2 linked regions of the Pelodiscus sinensis genome follow. The protein of the gene in region 1 purifies or fractionates together with the protein of each later gene. This does not show direct contact. Links are inferred from orthologs where the notes say so. Each region holds a gene or a part of one and is shown on either strand. Other genes may lie near its edges.

Evidence for each region.
Region 2: the proteins of MAP3K5 (region 1) and MAP2K3 purify together in Homo sapiens (co-immunoprecipitation; 4 studies listed by BioGRID and IntAct, with this or other methods). This does not show direct contact. The link is inferred for Pelodiscus sinensis from reciprocal best matches to the Homo sapiens genes MAP3K5 and MAP2K3.

Annotation. Positions count from the first base shown.
Region 1 is NC_134713.1:97,631,125-97,640,324, reverse strand, and holds the start of MAP3K5 (mitogen-activated protein kinase kinase kinase 5), read left to right. Parts: upstream 1-4,782; 5' UTR 4,783-5,332; coding exon 5,333-5,744; intron 5,745-9,200. UniProt on the Homo sapiens protein: Serine/threonine kinase which acts as an essential component of the MAP kinase signal transduction pathway. Plays an important role in the cascades of cellular responses evoked by changes in the environment.
Region 2 is NC_134726.1:32,412,878-32,423,020, reverse strand, and holds the start of MAP2K3 (dual specificity mitogen-activated protein kinase kinase 3), read left to right. Parts: upstream 1-6,235; 5' UTR 6,236-6,264; coding exon 6,265-6,292; intron 6,293-6,358; exon of another isoform or gene 6,359-6,741; coding exon 6,742-6,860; intron 6,861-7,270; exon of another isoform or gene 7,271-9,727; coding exon of another isoform or gene 9,728-9,743; intron 9,744-10,143. UniProt on the Homo sapiens protein: Dual specificity kinase. Is activated by cytokines and environmental stress in vivo. Catalyzes the concomitant phosphorylation of a threonine and a tyrosine residue in the MAP kinase p38.

The sequences.
Region 1 (9,200 bases):
TTTCTATAGCAGGGATGCAGAGTCTGGGACAGAGGTTGGGTGCAGAAGGGAGGTTGGGGTAGGGGACTGGGTTACAGGAGAGGGGTCTGGAAGGGAGTTTGAGTGGAGTAGGGGGTTGTGACTTGGGACAAGAGATTGGGGTGCAGAGCCTAGGAGGTGGTAAGGGTGCAGGAGAGGATTCTGACCTGGGGAGGGATGTTTGAGGGGATGTAGGGTCTGGGAGGGAGTTGTGGTCTGGTGGAGGGAAGTGCAGAGGGTTTGGATGGTGACCTGGGGCAGGAGGGCATGGTGACCTGGGGCAGCATGGAGGGGTGGGGTACCAGATGCCGCCTCCAGAGGGAGGCACTTACCTAGGTGGCTCCCAGCCAGTAGCCCAGAGGGACCCTCAGGGTCTATGTCTAGAGTGTAGGCTTCTTTTAGACGAAGCTTTTCCGGAAGAGATCTTCCAGAAAAACTTCTTTCGAAAGAGAGCATCCACACAGCAAAAGCGCATTGAAAAAACGATCTGCTTTTTCAAAAGATAGCGTCCACATTCATTGGACGCTATCTCGCATTTAAGTTGTGATTACTATGGACGGAATGGTCATCTGGGCACCTATGCTTTTTCCTGGATGCCTCTTCTTTCTAAAAAACGAACAAACCCCTCTTCCCCATCCACACATGCTTTTTTCTGAAAGCTCTTTCACAAAAAGGCTGCTTCCTCATAGAAAGAGGTTTACCACTGTCAGAAAAACTCCTGCGTTCTTTTGACTTTCTCTTGAAAGAACACAATTGCAGTGTGGACATAAGTGTAGTCAAAACGGCTGGCTGTTCCATGTGCCTCTCTGTGCCATGCATTGGGGAGGGAAGAGACTTTGCACACTGTCCCCACTCCCAGCACAATCATCTCAGCTTCCATTGCCCCCTCTCCTTGCACTTTGAAACGAAACATATTACTCAATATCAAACCAAGTAAAGCAAAAAGTACTTTTCAACAGAAAGAGGAGATATAAAACTAGTAAAAAACACTCCCGCTTTCCTCTTCCCAATCTGTGAAAAGATGTGTATATCAAGAACTGGTTCCTTAGCTATCTAAAAGTCAACAAAAGCTTTTGCTTAACTTCAGGAAGCACAGCCACTAACAAGCATGTTTTATATAGAAATACCTAAAACAGATTCAGCAGTATTTCAACAATGAAAACAAGTAAACCAACCAACCAAAAACAAAACAACCAAAAAAGCCCAAAACAAAAAACACCCTAATGAGAAATTACCAGAAGGTGGCAGGCATGTTCCATCTAGAAATTAAGGTTCCAATTTCCCGGGACAAACTCCCAAGCAACATTGAAAGATTTGCTCAGGATCACAAAGTAGCTTGATGATGCCCCATGCTATTTACCACAACCCCACAGGTTCATTGCCCAACTATGTAGCATTTAGCCCTTAGAAAAATGGCTAGCTGCCAGGTTTATTGCAAGAAAAGCAGGTAGGAATCTCTAATCCAAAGAGATAACTTCCAGCAGCAAGGGAAGTGAAATACTTTGAACTACAGTCTCTGCTGTGATCTGATAGTGTTTTTTTGATCAGAACTGATGTGAGTTGGCTGGCAGCATATGTCAAGTGGGATTAGAGAGGAAGGTGAGGTTAGACTCCTGGATTCAATTCCTGGCTCTATATTTCATCACAGACTTCCCCTGTGATTTTTGAACAAATCAGTTAATCTCCCTGGGCCTAGATTCTCCATCTGTAAAATGGGGAGAATAGTAAAGCTGGGTTCAGTAACTTTCCATGTGATCAGCAGATCTCTTTCAGGGATTTTCCTTTAGCTCAGTGTCACATTATTGGGTTTTAATGTGAGTAGGCAGACAGTTACTGTACACACTGGTGTGTGTTTGCCCCAAATTGGGTACAAAGTGGGCCATGTGAGATGTCAAAGGAAAGCTTATGCTATGCAGGTTCTGTTTAAGCTACTCATGTACTTGTACAACCTGTGTGTGTGTGTGAAGGTATGAATATTAGCTTTAACCAGCCAGCCAAACCGGGTCTTCAGCTATTTTGTGCTGACAGAGATTGCTGCTAAATCTGTCCCCAAACATTTATAATGCATTCACTGTCTTTCTAACACACCAGATAGTTTTCAAAACTGTTAATGTTTAAAAACTCTGTTTCATACTTGTGTTGTCTGCTCTTTGTATGTATCCCTTCCTGGAGGGTGAGTGTGGATTAGTCAGTTTCAGACTCTGTTTCTGGTCAGTTTCATGTCTTGTTGTCCATGGACTAGAAATTCAGCAGTGTTGAAGGCTGCAGGCAAGGCTCAGGGTATATCTACACTACAGAGTTTTTTCGTAAAAACGGTAGTTTTTCTGAAAAAAAAACCCCTTCACTTATGTCCACACTGCAATCAAATTCTTTTGAAAAAAAATTGAAAAAACAGAGGGATTTTTTGACATCGGTACACCTCTTTCTACTCCCCAGCTGACCCCAGTCTCCACTGCCCATTTGAAAGGCACAGAGGTGGTGTTTCAAAGGGGCAGCTGCGTCTCAGCTGAGCTGGGAATCAGCTGTGCGGTGGCTGCCCCTTAGAAATGCCACCTCCATGTGTTTCAAAGGTGCAGTGGAGCCGGGGGTCAGCTGGGAACTCCCCAGCTGATCTCGGCTCCGCAGGGCATTTCCCCTGAGCCCAGGATCAGCTGACCAGGTTCTTCCCAGATGACCCCGGAGCCTGGGGAAATGCTGTGTGGAGCCCGGGATTCGTCTCTGTGCACATTTCAAAGGGGCAGCCTTGGGGTCTGGGGTCAGCTGGGGATTCTTCAGCTGATCTTGGGCTCTGTGCAGAATTTCCCCAGACCCCGGGTTCTGCTGCCGCGGGGAGCCCAGGATAAGCTGGGAGCCCCCAGCTGACCCCAGATTCTGCTGCCACACAGAGCCCAGAATCAGCTGGGCAGTCCCCAGCTGGCCCCGGGCTCCATGACTGCCCCTTTGAAATGCCACATTGGGGTTTCAAAGCGGCAGCGCCGCACAGCTACGTGGTGCTGCCACTTTGAAGAACCCCCTCCCCTCTATCTTATGGAGGCATCAAAGGGGGGAAATTGACTTGCTTATCGGATAGTCGACTAGTCTTTAACGTCCCTACCGGAGATCAGCTGCGCACTCCAGCTGATCCTGGGCTCCGCCTTGAGCTGCCCCTTGGAAACGCTGCCCCGACGCTTCAAAGGGGAAGTGCTGCATAGAGCCCAGGGTCAGCTGGGGACTCTAGCTGATCCTCCATGCAGTGCTGCCCTGTTGAAATGCCGCAGCGGCGTTTCAAAGAGGAGGCACATACGATTAATCGTGATTTTTACATATATACACTTGTATGGACAGTGAAAAACTGCTACAAGTGAAAAGTATTATTGGCACTTGCATGTTAGTTGTTGACTTTTTGCTGTGCATTCAGTGTGAACAAGGAAAGAAGATTAATTAGTTTAACTTTCTGATATAGTCAGGTTCTCTTACACTGGATTCTCTCTATGCTTCAAAGTTTACAGACTAGAAAGATGGAGGGAAATGCATACCTTCAGATAAAAATGCACTTCTCTAAGGTGTCTTCTTTGATTTAAACTGTATTTCTATTAGCTTATTGTAGAACTTTTTTAACCACTAAACTTGTGAGACCTAGCTGTCTGCCTCTTTAAGCAAGTCTCAAAAAAATTACTATATTTTTAAGCTTGTTTTCATGATTCAGTTAGAGAGAATTTACAAGAAAAGGATTAAGGTGAATACAAAGGTATATATGGAGGGGAGGGAAATGTCTGTCTTGGGAGACAGCGTGAGTCAACAGAGTTTCTGAGGTGTCAGCTAGTTCCTTAGCTTTTTCAAAGCTGAAAGGAATAGTAGTTCCAGATGATACACACAGCACGGGATATTTGGAAACCTCTTTGCTTGTAAGGGTCAATATTCAAGCAGTAAATGTTGATTTTACTGTTCACAAACACACCCTGAAAAAAATTGTCATCCATTCTGACAAAATTTACAGCTAGATAACATAAGAAAAATATTGCTTGAGAATGTTACTTTGTATATTGTGATATGTGAGTTTGACAATATGGGTTTTCATGATTATAAGTTTTCACTTTTTGAATGTCATCATATACTATACTATATATATTTTTGTTAGACTCTAAGGCTATGTGTACACTGCCGGGTACTTGTGCAAGAACGGCCATTCTTGTGCAGAGAGTCCACACTGCCTGCCCGCTCTTGCGCAAGAAGATTTACAGTGAAGCTTGGGAGGAGAGGGCTTCTTGCACAAGAGCTATGCTCTTTTCTAACAAATGTAAGCCCTCTTGTGCAAGAGCTTTTGCGCCAGAGGGCAGTATGGATGCACGGCCGGGGTTTCTTGCGCAAAAAAACCCTATGGCTAAAATGGCCATCAGAGCTTTCTTGCGGAAGAGAGCATCCACACTGCCATGGACACTCTTGCGCAAAAAGCATATGGCAGTGTGGACGTGTTCTTGCACAAGAGTTCTTGCCAAGAACCTGCCAGTGTAGGTATAAGGTGCTGCAGGATCATTCGTTGTTTTTTAATCATTTTCTAGTATTAAATAATTATTGGCTGACCTCCCTCCCATACATTTCCTAAAATTTACATTGATAAATATAAAACTAACCATTGATAGCGTCCACTGCATTTGATTTTTTGTTAATACTCGCATTGAGACGCTAAGATCTCTTGAGGAGCCACCCCCACGCAGCTAACCTAACGGAGCCGCCTACAAGAGAGCAGCAGAGGGCGCCGTGCAGGGAAAAAGCGAATCAACAGCTGGTAGGAGCCATAGAGGGAGCCAGCGTCGCGCACCAAGCCTGAGCGAAAGTTTGGCGCGGCCAGAGCCGCCGCGAGCGCAGGAATGCAGCCAGGCCCAGGGGCGGGACTAAGGGAGGAGCCGGGCGGCTACTGGCAGGGCTGCTGCTCTGTGGGTGCAGCCATCCAAGCTGGATGAAGCGGCGAGGCTGAGGAGCGGCGATCCCACAAGTGGTTTGGCGGCTGGTCGGAGCGGCGGGAGGCAGGCGAAGGAAGAGCGAGTGCGAGGGGCTGCGGGAAGAGGCTGTGCCCTGCAGCGCGCTCGCCAGGTGGCCGCTGCCCCGCAGGTGAAGCCAGCCCCGCGCGATGGTGCCCTTGGCGGGCGCCCCAGGAGACTGCGCTGCCCTCCCGGCTCGGCTCGAGCTCGGCAGCCGCTGAGTGGGGGTCGCTTGCTGCCTGTAGGAGCCGGCGGCGGGCAGGGACGGGGCAGGGCGAGCGCGGCGGGCGGCGCGGCATGGCAGCGCCGTAGCCCCGGCGGCACCAGCAGAGCCCAGGGCACGGCGCCCCGCAGGGATGAGCGACAGCAGCGAGGGCATCAGCTTCTCGGTGCCCAGCCCGCCGGGCAGCGCCTGCCCCCACGAAGACGGGCTCAGCCGGAGAGCGGCGCCGGGGGCAGACGGGGGCGCCCGGAGCCTCCTGTCCGCGCCGCCAGCCGGCACCTACTGGAACGAGGACAGCGGCGCTGCTTGCCCTGCGGGGACAGGGACAGGAGGCCGGGTTAAGGGCGGCAGCACCCGGAGGACCACGGTGTCCTACGTGATCAACGAGGAGAGCCAGGGGCTGCTGCTGGTGGCGGCGGCGGAGAGCGGGGCCCTGCAGAGCCTGCGGGAGGCGTGCGAGGCTGTCGGGGCCTCCCTGGAGACCGTGCACTTCGCTGAGCTGGACTTCGGAGAGACCACGGTGCTGGACCGCTTCTACAACGCAGGTGAGCGACCCCACAGCCTCTCGCTCGGCTTCCTTCCCCTGCCTGGCTCCTTGCCTCCCACCCAGGGGCGCTCTTCACAACAGCTGGGCAGTGGCGGTGGGGGTTGTCACCCTAGGATCTGTTTTGCTGGGTGTGACATTCTGGGGTGCAATCTGTCATCCCTGCCCAAGGGTAGACGGAAGCTAATCTATATAGTCCATAGAGACACAGGTTTGTTCCTGCTGCTGTAGTGTGTCAGTTACTTCCTCTTTTGTTCATATGTCAGTGGCACTTTGTTGGGATGACATGCTGTGCAAAGGTTACTACTCATGTAAGCAAAAGACAAGCAGCTTCCCCTGGACTCCCTTTCCCTTGATAGAGGTAGGCATATCTCTCTCAGATTAGGGTTACACACTGTGCTTGAGGTTCCATTTTTCTGGACCATCCATCATTACCAGAAAATGGAACCTCAAACACAGGGTCAGGCCCACTTTTTCCTCTCAGATGTTTTCTGTGATTCTTGACACTTTGAAGAAATAGGTTTCTTGCACTTCTTGGTAGTTGGGACATTGGGGTAGAAGGTGTGTATCTGTCTCAGTCTCTGCCATACAGTGTTAGTTGCGCCTCTCATTTTAGCGCTTGTCTCCCAATTTTCTCAGTCCTCATTGATTCTGTATTAGGTGAGTCTCTCTCTTAATTTTGCAGATTCCACTGAGGTGGAGTCAACAGGGCTCTGGATGTGACTAAGGATGGGAGTACATCTGCCTGATATAACTACATGATGAGGGCCTAACATAAAATTTAGAATGCTACAAGTCTTTTCTAGTTGTTGTTGTTCTTTTATTGAGCTGTAAAATGGCAGTATAGTTTAAAACAGATTCTTAGACACTCTTGTGGTTTGTCCCATGTCTTGACAAAGAGGCTATTTCTTGGACTACAGCCCCTTCCATTGGTATTTAGGTAATATCCCTCAGACAACTACATTGTTTACATGGAAAAAAGGAGCAGCTAAAATACATTAGTTTCCTTTAATGTTATTTGGGGGGAAAGAAGGAACTAATTCTAAAAGGAACTAATTCTAGCTCTGCCCGCACCACCAGGTAGCACTTTTTGGAGCTCTGGTTGTCTTGCTACAGAGCTCAGTTTGGGAACCACCATTTTCAAATATACATATACAGGCAGTCCCCAGGTTACATGGATCCGACTTACATCGTATCCCTACTTACAAACGGGGTGAGGCAACCCCGCACTAGCTGCTTCCCCCCAGCAGACCACGGAGACGCGGAGCGGCTTTTCTCAGCAGACACCTCAGCTTGAGAATAAAGGACTGAGGGAAGTGAGGTATGGGAGAATAAAACTGAGCTCTGGAGAAATGTTTGGCTAGAGTTTCCCCTACAATATGTACCAGTTCCGACTTACATACAAATTCAACTTAAGAACAAACCTCCAGTCCCTATCTTGTACGTAACCCGGGGACTGCCTGTAGTGTTTTTTTTCCCCTCTCTCACTGTACTGAGCTCTTGCAGTTCCCATTTACTTCCGCTTGATTTCAGCACTTTTGAAAATAAAGTCCAATGTGAATATTTCAACATCTTCTTTATGTGGACCCAAAACTTGGGATAGTCTTCATATGTTTGGAAGAGACTGTGTCATATATCAATTGGATAAACTATTTAAGACAGCTGGGATTAAACAGAACTATGTATACGGAGTGTAACAGTTGCCAAGAAAGTCTCTGAATTCTGTCCTCTATCCTGATTTACATAGTTTCAAGTTTGCTACTGGGACCATGTTTGACTTGCTGGCAGTGTATTCACTAAGTTACTTGGCTGCAGTCAGTCTGGCAAGGCCACAGAGCCTGAGAGCTTCATGTTATCAAATAGGTAAGGTAAATGGGAGGGGCGTTGGGGAAGGGAAATAGCAATGGCCTATCAGATTTGTAAAGACTTTATAGAACCAGAATGATCATATTAAATGCTCTTTACAAAAGGAGAGAGAGAATTTGGAGCTAAGTTTTGACCAGATCTGTATGTGTTTGGAACACATTAGTTAAAATGTTTAAAATAACTTTTTCTTATTATTTGTAAAAATGCAGTATTAGAGAGCCTAATCCGAACTACCTACTCCGTGCCGCGTGTAGCCACGGGCACGGAGTCCGCACTAACGGGGATTTAAAAATGGCGGCGCCCGGCAAGATGCAAATGAAGCCCGGGATATTTAAATCCCGGGCTTCATTTGCAACTTCAGATGCCTACATTAACCATCCTAGTTCAAACTAGGGTGGTAGTGTAGACATACCCGTACATCCCTAGTAGGGCTATCAATAGACTCCTGTGTTTATGGCTCTACTGTGGTATATTCATTTTCCCTTCAGCTACATGTGCCTGCATCAAGGTTTTAAATTCAGATTATATTAGGTTTGGCATCAGAAGCTCAAGGAACGAACTCTTTTGATGGGAGACCAGACTTTACCATGAGCTCCTTTTGTTCTGGCAGTTAGAACTCTGACATAATAGCATAATTGCACGCTTAGGTAATGCTTTTTTTGCTTGCTTAAGTGGCTTTTGAGCAAAGCTGTGTAAATATAAAGACATTGCTTTTCTTTCTTTGCCATAATTTACACAAATTTAATAAAAGTATTGTGAATTTTACCATGGCATTCTGCCTCTATATAGCTGCAAAGCCAAATACTGTCCATGGGGACATGCATCTCTAACCTGCTTTATTTTTAAGATCTAGCTTTAAAAAAACTCCTTAGGTTTACTAACTCAGTTAATAGGTGCTTGTTGTCTATAAGTACGTATGAAAAATAGGAATGGGAGAGCACAAGTGAGCTCCTAGGTAATTCTCTGCTCAAATCCCATCCCCTGCATCCTCGTAGAATGGTATCTCTGAACCATTCTGTAGTTCACCGTCTTCTGTATCAGCTTCTTAATCAGCACCGTAACTAGGTATTTTTGCACCCAGGGCAAAATATTAATTATGCACCCCCTCTCCTTATGTTAGCATGCATCACACTCTTCACCTTTGCAGCTGCTTATTTTTACTTTTAGTGCTCCTGATTATGATGCTCCTGGGGCGAGTTCCCCACTTGCTCCGCCTTTGTTACCGCCCTGCTCTGGATGCAAGATGTCTTATAATTTGAAATTCCACCCACTTCTGGCTTGTGGGAAAGGCTCTTTGTTTTTTTTACTTTACTCACCAAAAACTTAGTGGCTGCCAAGGGAAAGGAATGTTTTTTTGCCATTGTATGCCTCCTTCAGAGCCTCTGGGTTACTGCCAAGAGAGGTGTCTTTTTGTCCTATCTAGTCCTGTTATTATGAGACCTCCTTTCTAGGAAGGATTCTAGCTTCAGCTTGTTGCTCATCACTTTTCCAATTAGCATGAAATTGACATGATATTTTGACTTCTACATAGGTTACAATAGCTGACATGAAACTGACTAGATTTGGTAATGTTACTGTGCTGCTCACTGGC
Region 2 (10,143 bases), on another chromosome or scaffold:
TTGATCTTTTTCTACAGGGGCATGTGGGGGGAATGGGACAAAGACTTCCTGCTCTGGGGACATTCTATATAAGGGGTGGTAAGACCTGAAAAATAGAAGAACTCTAATGAGGGGAGAAGCTATTAGACCCAGGTCAGGAAAAAGATCAACTCCGGCCTGAAGACCTTCATTTGCAATGAGGTCTAGGGTGACCAATTATGACTTGTGGTAATTTCTCTTAGTGTATTCAGTTTAGCTGGAATGTTTTGTTTGTTTTAGCTTAGTAATTTACTTTGATCTGTCTGTTATCATGTGCAGCCACTTAAATCCTACATTTTATACTTACTACCATCACTTTTGTTTATTATTAAACACAGTGTAAAGAATTGTTACTGAGGAGGAGGGAGCACAACAGCTGTGCATATCTCTCATTCATTGATTGGGGGGGGACTTTATAAGCTTACCATGTATAAAAGTTTTATACAGAAAAAGATGGATTTGTTTGAGGTTTTGGTCCCATTGGGGCTGTGCTTCTGGGTGCTGTCAAGTCCTTGTAACTGAGCCTCCTCCCAGAGCTGGGCTGTTCTCAGGGTCTATGTTACTCTGCTGTTACCCCCAACTCCGTGTCTTTGCTGGGGGAGACCAGAGCTTCTGGCTTAGCGGGACAGGGTGGTGGCGGTGCCCCAGAGGGTAGGTAGGCAGGCTCAGTGGTATGATCAGCCCATCAGGTGCCAATCTCAAGGGGATGTCTGTGATCTAACCCATCGGGTAGCTTGGACACTGAGAATGTTACCAGTGCACTGGGGTCTTCCTGGTAGTGCAGATGGACCACACCAGTAGCTCAGACAGGTATTACCTGCTCCACACATCTTGATGAGGCATTAACTCTGAAGCCTAAAGCAGGCAATTTCAATTTAAACATCAGTATTGTGAACTACGTTACTGCTGGTCACATTGAGCGAATGTGTTTATCCCACAACCCGGTGCTCCTTCCCAGTCCCTAAAACTCCAGCTGCATCTGCCAAAATCCCCAGGTTTCCCCTGACTTCCAGCCCCTGCCTTGCGGTCAGTACTGTCCCATGATCTGTTTATACTGAAAACTGGGAGTGTGGGCACAGCATAGCATTGGTGAGGCTATCCAGACCTCTTACTCAGAGATGACTGTATTTTCACATTGGAATCGCTTGAATTAAATAGCTTCAGGGGGTAGCCGAGTTAGTCTGTTACAGAAAAAAACAACAAATGGTCTGGTCACTGCTGCAGAACTTTGCATCCGTCACACTAGCGTGCAACAGAATCCACGGATTGAGGTGCATCTTGCCAGAGCACATAAGACTTCAAGTGTGACGTGTGGATTGTTGCATTTATTTTGCATGGGGGCATACTTGGGCCCTCAGGGGCATGAATGTTGCATCCTGTACAGAGAAAACTAGCTGCCTCATTTACACAAGTACCCTCCTTTTTTTTTTCCCCCTTTATAATACACCCCTACCTCGGTAACTTCCACTCCAGTGTATCTGATGAAGTGGATTTTACCCTTGAAATCTTATGCCCTAATACATCTGTTAGCGTCTAAGGTGCCAGAGGACTTCTTGTTGTTGCAGCTGCCTTGTAGTCTGTATGCAGCGTTAAGTGCCTATTAGATTGTTAGAAGCCTAGTGCAGCAGTACATTTTGTAACACTGGGGATTGTCTGGAGCTGAGAATCCCCTCTCTGACTGCTATTTGGGAGGCACTGCATTTTTATTGGAGGGTAGAAAGATGTTGAGAGGTTCTGTTAAACACAGGCCCCCTTTCCATAAGTGGAACAGGTTTTTTGTTTTGTTTTTTTATTACCCATTTCTGTGTAGTTATGGGTTCTGAACGCAGCCAGCTCTGAGTAGGTATAGACGTGGAAACTGAATTTTCAGCTATGCAATCTCTAAAAGTGACCTTGCAATTTTGATAGTCTTTTAATTTCAAGGTCTTTATCCCATCTGGAGTTTGGGTCTGTGTTGTGGCTTATTCTCTTGCTCGACCCTGCTTGATGGTTTAATCCTTCCCCATATAATCAACTCCTCCGTGTATGGTGATAGCAACCAGCACCTCCAGGCTTAGACACCGTTGTGCTAGGCCCTATACAAACCTAGCATGAAAAGATGGCCCTGTCAAGTTAGTCTAAAAAAATTCCTGTGTTTGGACATAGAACTGGATGAAATTTTGGTCAAAAATGCAGATCTGGGTCAACCAAAAATTTCATGAATCTGTCAGATTTGACCAGTTGAAAATGGGGTTGGGGAAAGGGAGGAGAAATCAATTTTGACTTTTTTTTAAACAAAACCTTTTGATTTGTTTGTTTTAAACAGTTTATTTGTTTTGAAGAATAATTGTTTTATTTAAAAAAGTAAAGAAAAAACAGCCCCTCCCTCTTCCCGTTAGTCAAAAAATGTTTTAGATTGAAATAATTGTTTAGTTTGACACCAACAGAGTTAGTTACTTTTAACGTTTTGGTTAGTGAACTGAAATATTGGCTACCTGCACCACTGGTGCTGGTAGATCTGTTTAGCATTACTTGATGTTTCTTCTTTTAAGGGACTCTTAATCAGTGTTCCCTCTAACCTTGTCCATCCATGGGCAGAATATTTTTTTTTTTTAATCTGTGCTGAGGCTCGTGCCTATGTGCATCACCAGTAGAAACAAAACCTAGCAGTGGGTGCTCTGCCAATCAGCTGTGTGGCTTTTGAGTGGCAACACAAGTGCCCAGCTTACAGGGAACACTGCTCTTAATTAAAGGATGTCAATATGTCGTTGACTATTGGATTAACTGAGAAGCCTAGGCTTATCAGTTAATTAATCTTGTTGACTACATGCATTCACCCTCCCCCCCCTTGCTGCCTCTGTATAAGAGGCAGCAAGGTGGGGAGCCAGTGCTAGGGGGGAGCCAGCTTAAAAGCTGGTTCCTCCCCAGTTCTGCATTGCTGCCTGCCCCCACCCCCTGCACTACCACTTCTGTCAGAGGCAGCAAGGGGAAGGGCAGGGGAGGTTGCCACAAAGCAGCCTCTGTCCATGGTGGGCCAAAGTCCACATCCCACGGAGCAGCCTCTGTCTGCAGTGAGCCTGGGCCCGCTGTGGGCAGAGGCTGCTTTGTGGTAGCAGTTCCTGTCCGCGGAGGGGCCAACCTAAGACCCCTCCCCCTCCACGGACGGTGCTGTTGCCACTCCGTGCTGCTGCCTCTCTATTAAGAGCGCGGTGCAGCAGGCAGCCGGTCTGCATGGGGAGCTGGCTTTTAAACTGGCTCCCCTCGGAGACTAACTCCCTCTGCCACCCTGTGCTGCTGCCTCTGATACAGACAGCAGTGCAGGGCCGCAGGGGGCTCCCTGGGAGTGGGTCTGGGAGCACACTGGCTGCCGGCCCTGCCACTGAGGACTATTGAATAATTGTGGAACTGCTAAGATTTCATGTGATTACACGATTGATTATTCAGTTATCTGCTATCTAGGATCCCTGCTCTTAATGTGTTTCCCTCCCAAACATTTAAGGGGTGGAAAAGGCACCCTTCTTACCATGCTAAAGTTGTTGGTGTTAAGGGGCTAACCATTACTACTCTTTCTGAGTCTTTCCAAAGCCTCTGCATCGTCCACATGTGTCTTCAATTATCCTTGATTAGGTATGAACCCTGTCTCAGTATTTCCAGAGGCATATTTGCTTGCAGTTATTTAGAAGGGATTGGTGGTGGAACAGGCCATTGTTGGGGGAGAAAGCTCTGTTTTAGATCACTACTGTGTTTAGAGTGTGCTCTTCCACTTATTGAGCGTTGACAATGTACACGAGGTAGCGTGGACTTTGACAGCCAAGAAGGCTGCAGTCTTGTCTACTGGTTAGAGCTGACTGGCAGGATGGCAACACCTTTTAACCCACCCGTGCCACAGTTTACCCATCTGAGAAATGTTGGATGCCTTACTCGCTCATGTGTTGGACATCACATGGCTTAAGTAACATTAAAAAACTTTAAAATACCTTTTGTTCCAGGGCCTAACTGCAGAGCAGTAAATGTTGGATGATGCATGTCAAGTTACTTTGCATCCTTTGTAGTGTAGGAGTCTGCAGAGCATTCAATCCTTTAGACTGGTAGTTTGTGACAATAGTATCCGTCTCACTAACTAAAGCATTGACTGAGACTCTTCTCAAGTTCTTCTCATTCACTAAGGTTGAAATTTTCTCAGCTTCATCCGGGCATTAGAAAGTAGATCCGGAGCGTCTGCCCATTGGCTCATAACACAAAACCAAGAGGACATTTAGTGAAATTGGATGTGTGAAATTCAAAGTGATTAAAAAAAATGCTTTTCACACTGGATGTAAACAGACAGTGGAATTCATTGCACAGGAAATTAAGGCCAAGAATTTGATAAGCTTCAAAGATGGATGGAACGATTACATGGTGTAAGAGAATGAGAGTTATAATGGTTATGGCTCAACGTTTGGGAAGGGATTCTAAACCCCATGCTTCAGGCTCATGTGAGTCTCCATGTCAGATTAGGATGAGCTCACGTGTGAAAGGCAGGTTATACCACATCTTCCTCTGGAATCCTCCACTGCAGGCCGATGTCAAAGACAAGACTGGATTAGATGGATCTCTGGTTGCATCCAGTTTGGCTGCTCCTGTTTTAAGAAACTTTAGAAATCTCAGCTCGAATCTATAGCCAGGGGATTTAACACTCTTCCACTCACCCCCCCACACACCTGACGAGAAAAAATCCTCTTTGGTCTTTCTGGGTTGGGGTTGCGGGTCCTTTTTTTGGGTTGAGGGTGCTGACCTATAGAAAAATCAGTTAGGGGCCACACATGAGTGAGAAGCGCGCAAACCACACCCCCAAAAAAACAACCTCTCACTGACATTGCCCCGACTGAGAAGGAGACAGACACTCCCTCTCCCTCCCCCATTCCTCTCACACACCAGAGGCTAGGGTGGCCTAGCCTACTAGATTTTGTGTGTTCCAGCTCTGTGGAGGGAGGGGGGAGCAGGAAGGGGGTTGGAGTGGCAGCACAGGTTCCCCAATGCAGGGGGGAGGAGCTGAGCCTCAGGGGTCGGATCTAGGCAAGCCGGGGGCCACATGCAGCCCTCAGGCCTCAAGTTCCCCACTCCTGCTATAAATGCTGCTTAAAATTAGAGCAATCTTGTTAAGCATGTAGAGTTGTCTCCATCTCTGACCTTTCTTCCTTTTGGTGCACATGGTCCAGCATTGTCCGCACAACTAGCGAACATTTCATGAGTGACTGAGGCACATCTTTCTATTCCTAGTGTAAGGTAAAGAAGGAACTTAGTGCACTCCCTTTCCCAGGCTGACTCATGGTGGAAACCAATAAAAGTTTGAATCAGGCACGTAAGTACGGGAACCGGAGTTGGCTTTGGTCAGTCTGGTTTGAGGGACCGGAGAGAATAAACATGTTTCGGCACCTGTTTTACATACAGGGGTGTAAAAATACTGCAGCTCCTGCTACCTCCGCCCCTTCCTTTATAGGCACTGTGATTTTTTTTTTTTTTTTTTATTTCTTTCTGCGATGCCACCCCCGAGGTCCTCCTTGTCGTCCTGGTATTGTAATGGAACAACGTTTCCACTATTTGTTGTAGTAATAGTTGTCAGAAGCACAGTAATTTGACTGTCACCTGCTCTATAAATAAATGCAAGCATCTTTCTCTCAGCGGACACGCACCCTGACCATAATCAGTGGTGTTGAAGTTGGCTTCCTTCAACATAACTACTGCAGGACTTGGTGCACCTTCCTCTTATTAATTTTAAACAAGATCTACAAGATCTTTGAGTCTTCTTCCCGCCCCCTCCACTGCATTGTTATTCATGGCAATCATTTGCTGTTCTTCGCTGCAGAAGCTGGCACTTGCCTGCTCCAAAAAGATTTAGTTTTATTGTTGACACAGTGTGGGCAAGATTGCAAGCTCTGGTAGGTAGGGTTGCCAGATGGTTGGAACAAAAATACCGAACTCTTCTCCCCCCCCCTCCAAAAAAAAACACCGAGAAAAAATTATGGGGGGGGGGGGGGGACCAAAGTTGTTGAGCAAAAAAAAAATGATTCCAAGACCATTTTGTGCCTTGCAGAACCAGATAAGCATGGGGGCTGGGGGTGTTTGGAACCGGGGAGGGTGGGGGGGAAGCAAGTTGCTTCTCAGTTTAAATCTCTGTGGTAGTCACAGAGATAGGATCACTGCTGGGGTTACCAGGTAGTCATTTAAAAAAACAAAAAAAAAAACCCAGACACTTCATGGGGGGAGGAGCAGGAAGTGGGAGGAGCAATGGGACTGGCTGAGGGAGATGCAGGAGGTGACGGGAAGCAGGGCTGGTTGGTGGTGGGGGGGGTCGGGCAGAATGGGGCTGGCCGCAGAATATTGGGGGGGGGGCGGTGGGGCAGAGCTGGCTGGGGGAGCTGAGGAGGAGGGGAAAACTGCACTTCTATGGCCTCCGTAACTGGCTCCCGTCCAGTTTCCTGTTTGACATCATGTGCTATTTCACGGCTGCAGCTTTTACAACTGCTCTCAAGTGTAATCTGAGCTGAAACGGGCCAACTTCAGCAGCTGCCTGTGGAGGAACTCTGTATGCTGCCATGTCTCTCTTTTCCTCTCGCGCACTCTTTTGCTGCGAAACTTAGAATGATCTAATTGCATCTAGTCCGTGCATGGGGTGTGGAGGGCAGGAAAGAGAGATCGGTGGAAAGGGCTGTTGAATACTTTGTACCATGCGTGCTTTTTTAAAATAAGCGGTACTCTTTGCAGCAAACGCTGTGGATCTTGCAGACATCCCCCCCCCGCTCGCTCCCTTCCACCAACTGCTTCAAGGCGTGCCGTTTCTGTTCTTCATTTCTGGGAATTGGAAACCATGGACAAGAAACAAGGTATATGTTGCAATTTCCAAAACACGTATCTGGGAGATCTAAAGAGCCATTCAAATGGCGAAAGGGGTTGTGGAACTTTTGTTATGTCATTCCGTGTGGTTTTGCTTTGTGTCCTTGCTCGGAGGGGCTCTCTATTTGTGGCCAGGTAGCTATTTTGAAAGCTAATGGAAACTTGCATGCATTGGGTTGCAATACCGGGTGTAGGTGCACAGGCCGGCATGAGGACAGAAAAATCTGCAGCTAAGCTTGTCTTTTTTCCCTCTTTTAAGAATTTGCCAAACACAACTCTGTGTGTGTTTTTGCACAAGTCCTGTTGCACTACAGTTGAGTGCCCAACTTGGAGCCTGCTGCTGTTCAGAGCTGAGATTCAGCATAGGTTAACAGGTGACTTTTTTTTTTTTTGGTCTGCAGTCGGCTCTGACTGGAAGGGGCTTTTTATGAACTGCTTTTTTCCTCCTCCTGGTTCACTGCTTGTGCCTTGTTTTCAACTTCTGCAAAAATGCAACAAAGCCAGCTTCTCATAGGAAATGCCCGGGGAGGGGGGGGGGGTGACCGACTCCACTCAGTGTTCTTTTTCCACTGCTTGGATTGCTCTCTTCAGGCTGCAGCATGGTGCAAATATTGCCCTGGCTTCTCTGCAGGGAGGCAACTCTTGTGTCTTTGCTTCACCTGGGCTTGAATAAAGACATTAAATGGATGTCCCATGATAATGCCAGACTTCCACACATTTAACGCCTCATTTACATCCAAAGTAAGTATGGAACACTCCCCGCCCACTCAGTCTCATTAGCACCGGCACTACAATTGACTGGTACCCCTCCCCCTTTCTTCTATTATAAATGCTGAGTTCCTGTCCCCCTCATCTGAAGTGGGTTTTGCCCATGAAAGCTCATGATACAATCTACGTATTTTGTTAGGTGCTGCTAGACGATTCATTGGTTTTTTTTAAAAGTTTTTACTATATACTTTGTTAGTCTCTAAGGTGCTACTCGTCTTTATGTGAGGAGATTGTCACCTGATCTGTTATCTTGCCTTTAAAGCAGACTGTTATCTTACTGTTCCTCCGTGGCTTGGATGGAACAGCGGGTTTCCCATCTAGCCACCTCCTTCTTTTGTGTGGTTTTTTTTTTTTTTTTTTTTTTTCATGCCCAAATCAGCAATCTGACAGAACAGAACGTGTTGGATGCAAAACCAAACCCTCTCGAGGTATCACTAACTTCCTTTCCCCCACCCTCAAGCCACCAGTCTTGTTAATGCTTCAGTTCTCTTCCCGGTTCCCCGTGTATGGTAGGGTTCTGTAGTGCTGCTGTCTTTCCTCTGCGCCGTGTCTGGGGCTGGCACATGGGAGTACAGAGGCTGTGAGGCAGCAAAGGTAGCATTTCAAAGGTCAGCTCAGTCAAATAGCTTTATTTACAGTTCTTAAGATTTTCCCTGCTCGGTTCCACCCACGTCAGCCCGTTGGGAGAGGTACCACACATACACGGAGGTCAAATTAAACCGCTCCAGGAAACACAGTTGTGGGCAGGGAGGATGTTAACTTTATCAAGGTTATGACAGGAGAAATTCAGTCAGTGACTTTTTCTAGGAAGGGAAATAGTTCCCCTCTCAGCATAAAGGGTGCAGAGATGCCGCTTTGGTGACGTACTGGGGACTGGAATTCTTTTTTACACAAGGAATTTGTGACCACTTTTCTCCTATACTGTTGCGACTAGTGGTAGGTCTACTCAGAGCAGCGTTCAAGGACATGGTCGTCAGCATGCCCGTTCCTTATTTGCAATGATGGTTTTCTGTCGGTAGCATCAGAGAACACTTTACTGGTGGTCCCTAAGGCAGCAGGTAATGAGGGCCTGGCTGCTGGACAGTTTCTCTGGAGCTGGCAGAATTAGATGAGGCTCACGAACCTTTTGAGCTCTGCTTCCCTGAAATCACATCACTCTCAGTGTGTCTAAACTACATCCCTCTGTCGAAAGAGGGATGTAAATTGGGCAAATCAAAAGTGCAAATGAAGCAGAGATTTAAATATCCCACGCTTCATTTGCATAATTGCATCACAGCGCTTTTTAGAAAAAGGGTATTTCTAAAGTGATACTGGAATTTGATGACCTCTTACTGTCATGTGATTCAGCTTGTTGCAACGGGGCAGCATTTTGAAAGCAATACGATGACACTCTGATGATGCAACACAGTGATGCTCTGTTGCAACGTGATGTTTTGCAGCACCGTGACCATGTTCTGACACGGTTCAGCTCCCTTTTTGCCTCGTCCCAGTGCCGCTTTGATGCTCAGCAGCAGTGTTTTGCTGAGAGGCAGCCGTGTTTGGGGATTATGCCTAGCACTTTTGGACGTGGCACGGTCACATTTTGCTGCAACGTGGTACTGATCTGCCATAGTGGACGGGCCAGGAGGGGGGGAGTTGACTTGTCTTAGGCCACGTTTTCGCATGGCACGTGGCCACTGTTGCACCAGGCTGGCTACGGTGCAATGTGCTAGCTGATCTTGCCCCCTTGGACCAGCCTCCCTGTGGTGGATGAGTGACTATCTGGGGTCAGGAACCGGGTCCTTTGTGGAATTTTGGGTAGAATTTTCGGGTCCCCGCCCCTCAGCCTCCAGTCTGGAGGTCAGCACCCTGTGGCTCAGGAGGGCGTGGCTACGGCGACAACGCCCCCTTCCCTGCAGGGACCCAATAGCGATCGAGTTCCAGCTGCGGAGGCGTGGCTGTCTGCGCTCCGCCCAGCTGCTTGCCTCATCAGTCCCGGGCTGAGTTTCTTGCTGTGCGCCAGCCGGGGACATGCTCCAGCCCCCGGCCTCCGCCAGCGCCTAACCCCGCTCAGCGCAGCAACCGGCCCGCGCCAGCCCCGAGACCAGCCATGTCCCTCCCCAGAGGTAGGAGAGCTGGGGGGAGGGCGGTTTCTCTCCAGCTGCAGCCCCTCGCCGGGTTACGGGCTGTGGGTCTCCCGGGGGTCCCCCCTGCCCTGTGCTCTGCTTCTGGGTTACAGCCTGGGGGCGGGCTCCCCTTTGTGGATTCCCCTTCCTGGTTACGGGATTCTCCTGCCCTCATTGCGGGTGATGGGCTGGGGGTCCCCCCATGCGTTGCTCATGGGGGGCTCCCTTGCCGTGCAGAGTTGTGTCTGGGGGTTCTCCTTGCAGTTCCCCTTACAGGTGGCTGCAGACCTTCCTGGAGCCAGCTTCCTGGGCTGGGTATAGTCTGTCTTTCACCCGCTGCCCCATCTGCATTCATTGTAGAGCCGAGGCGCCCTGCCAGCCTGCTCTCTGGTTCTCCTCC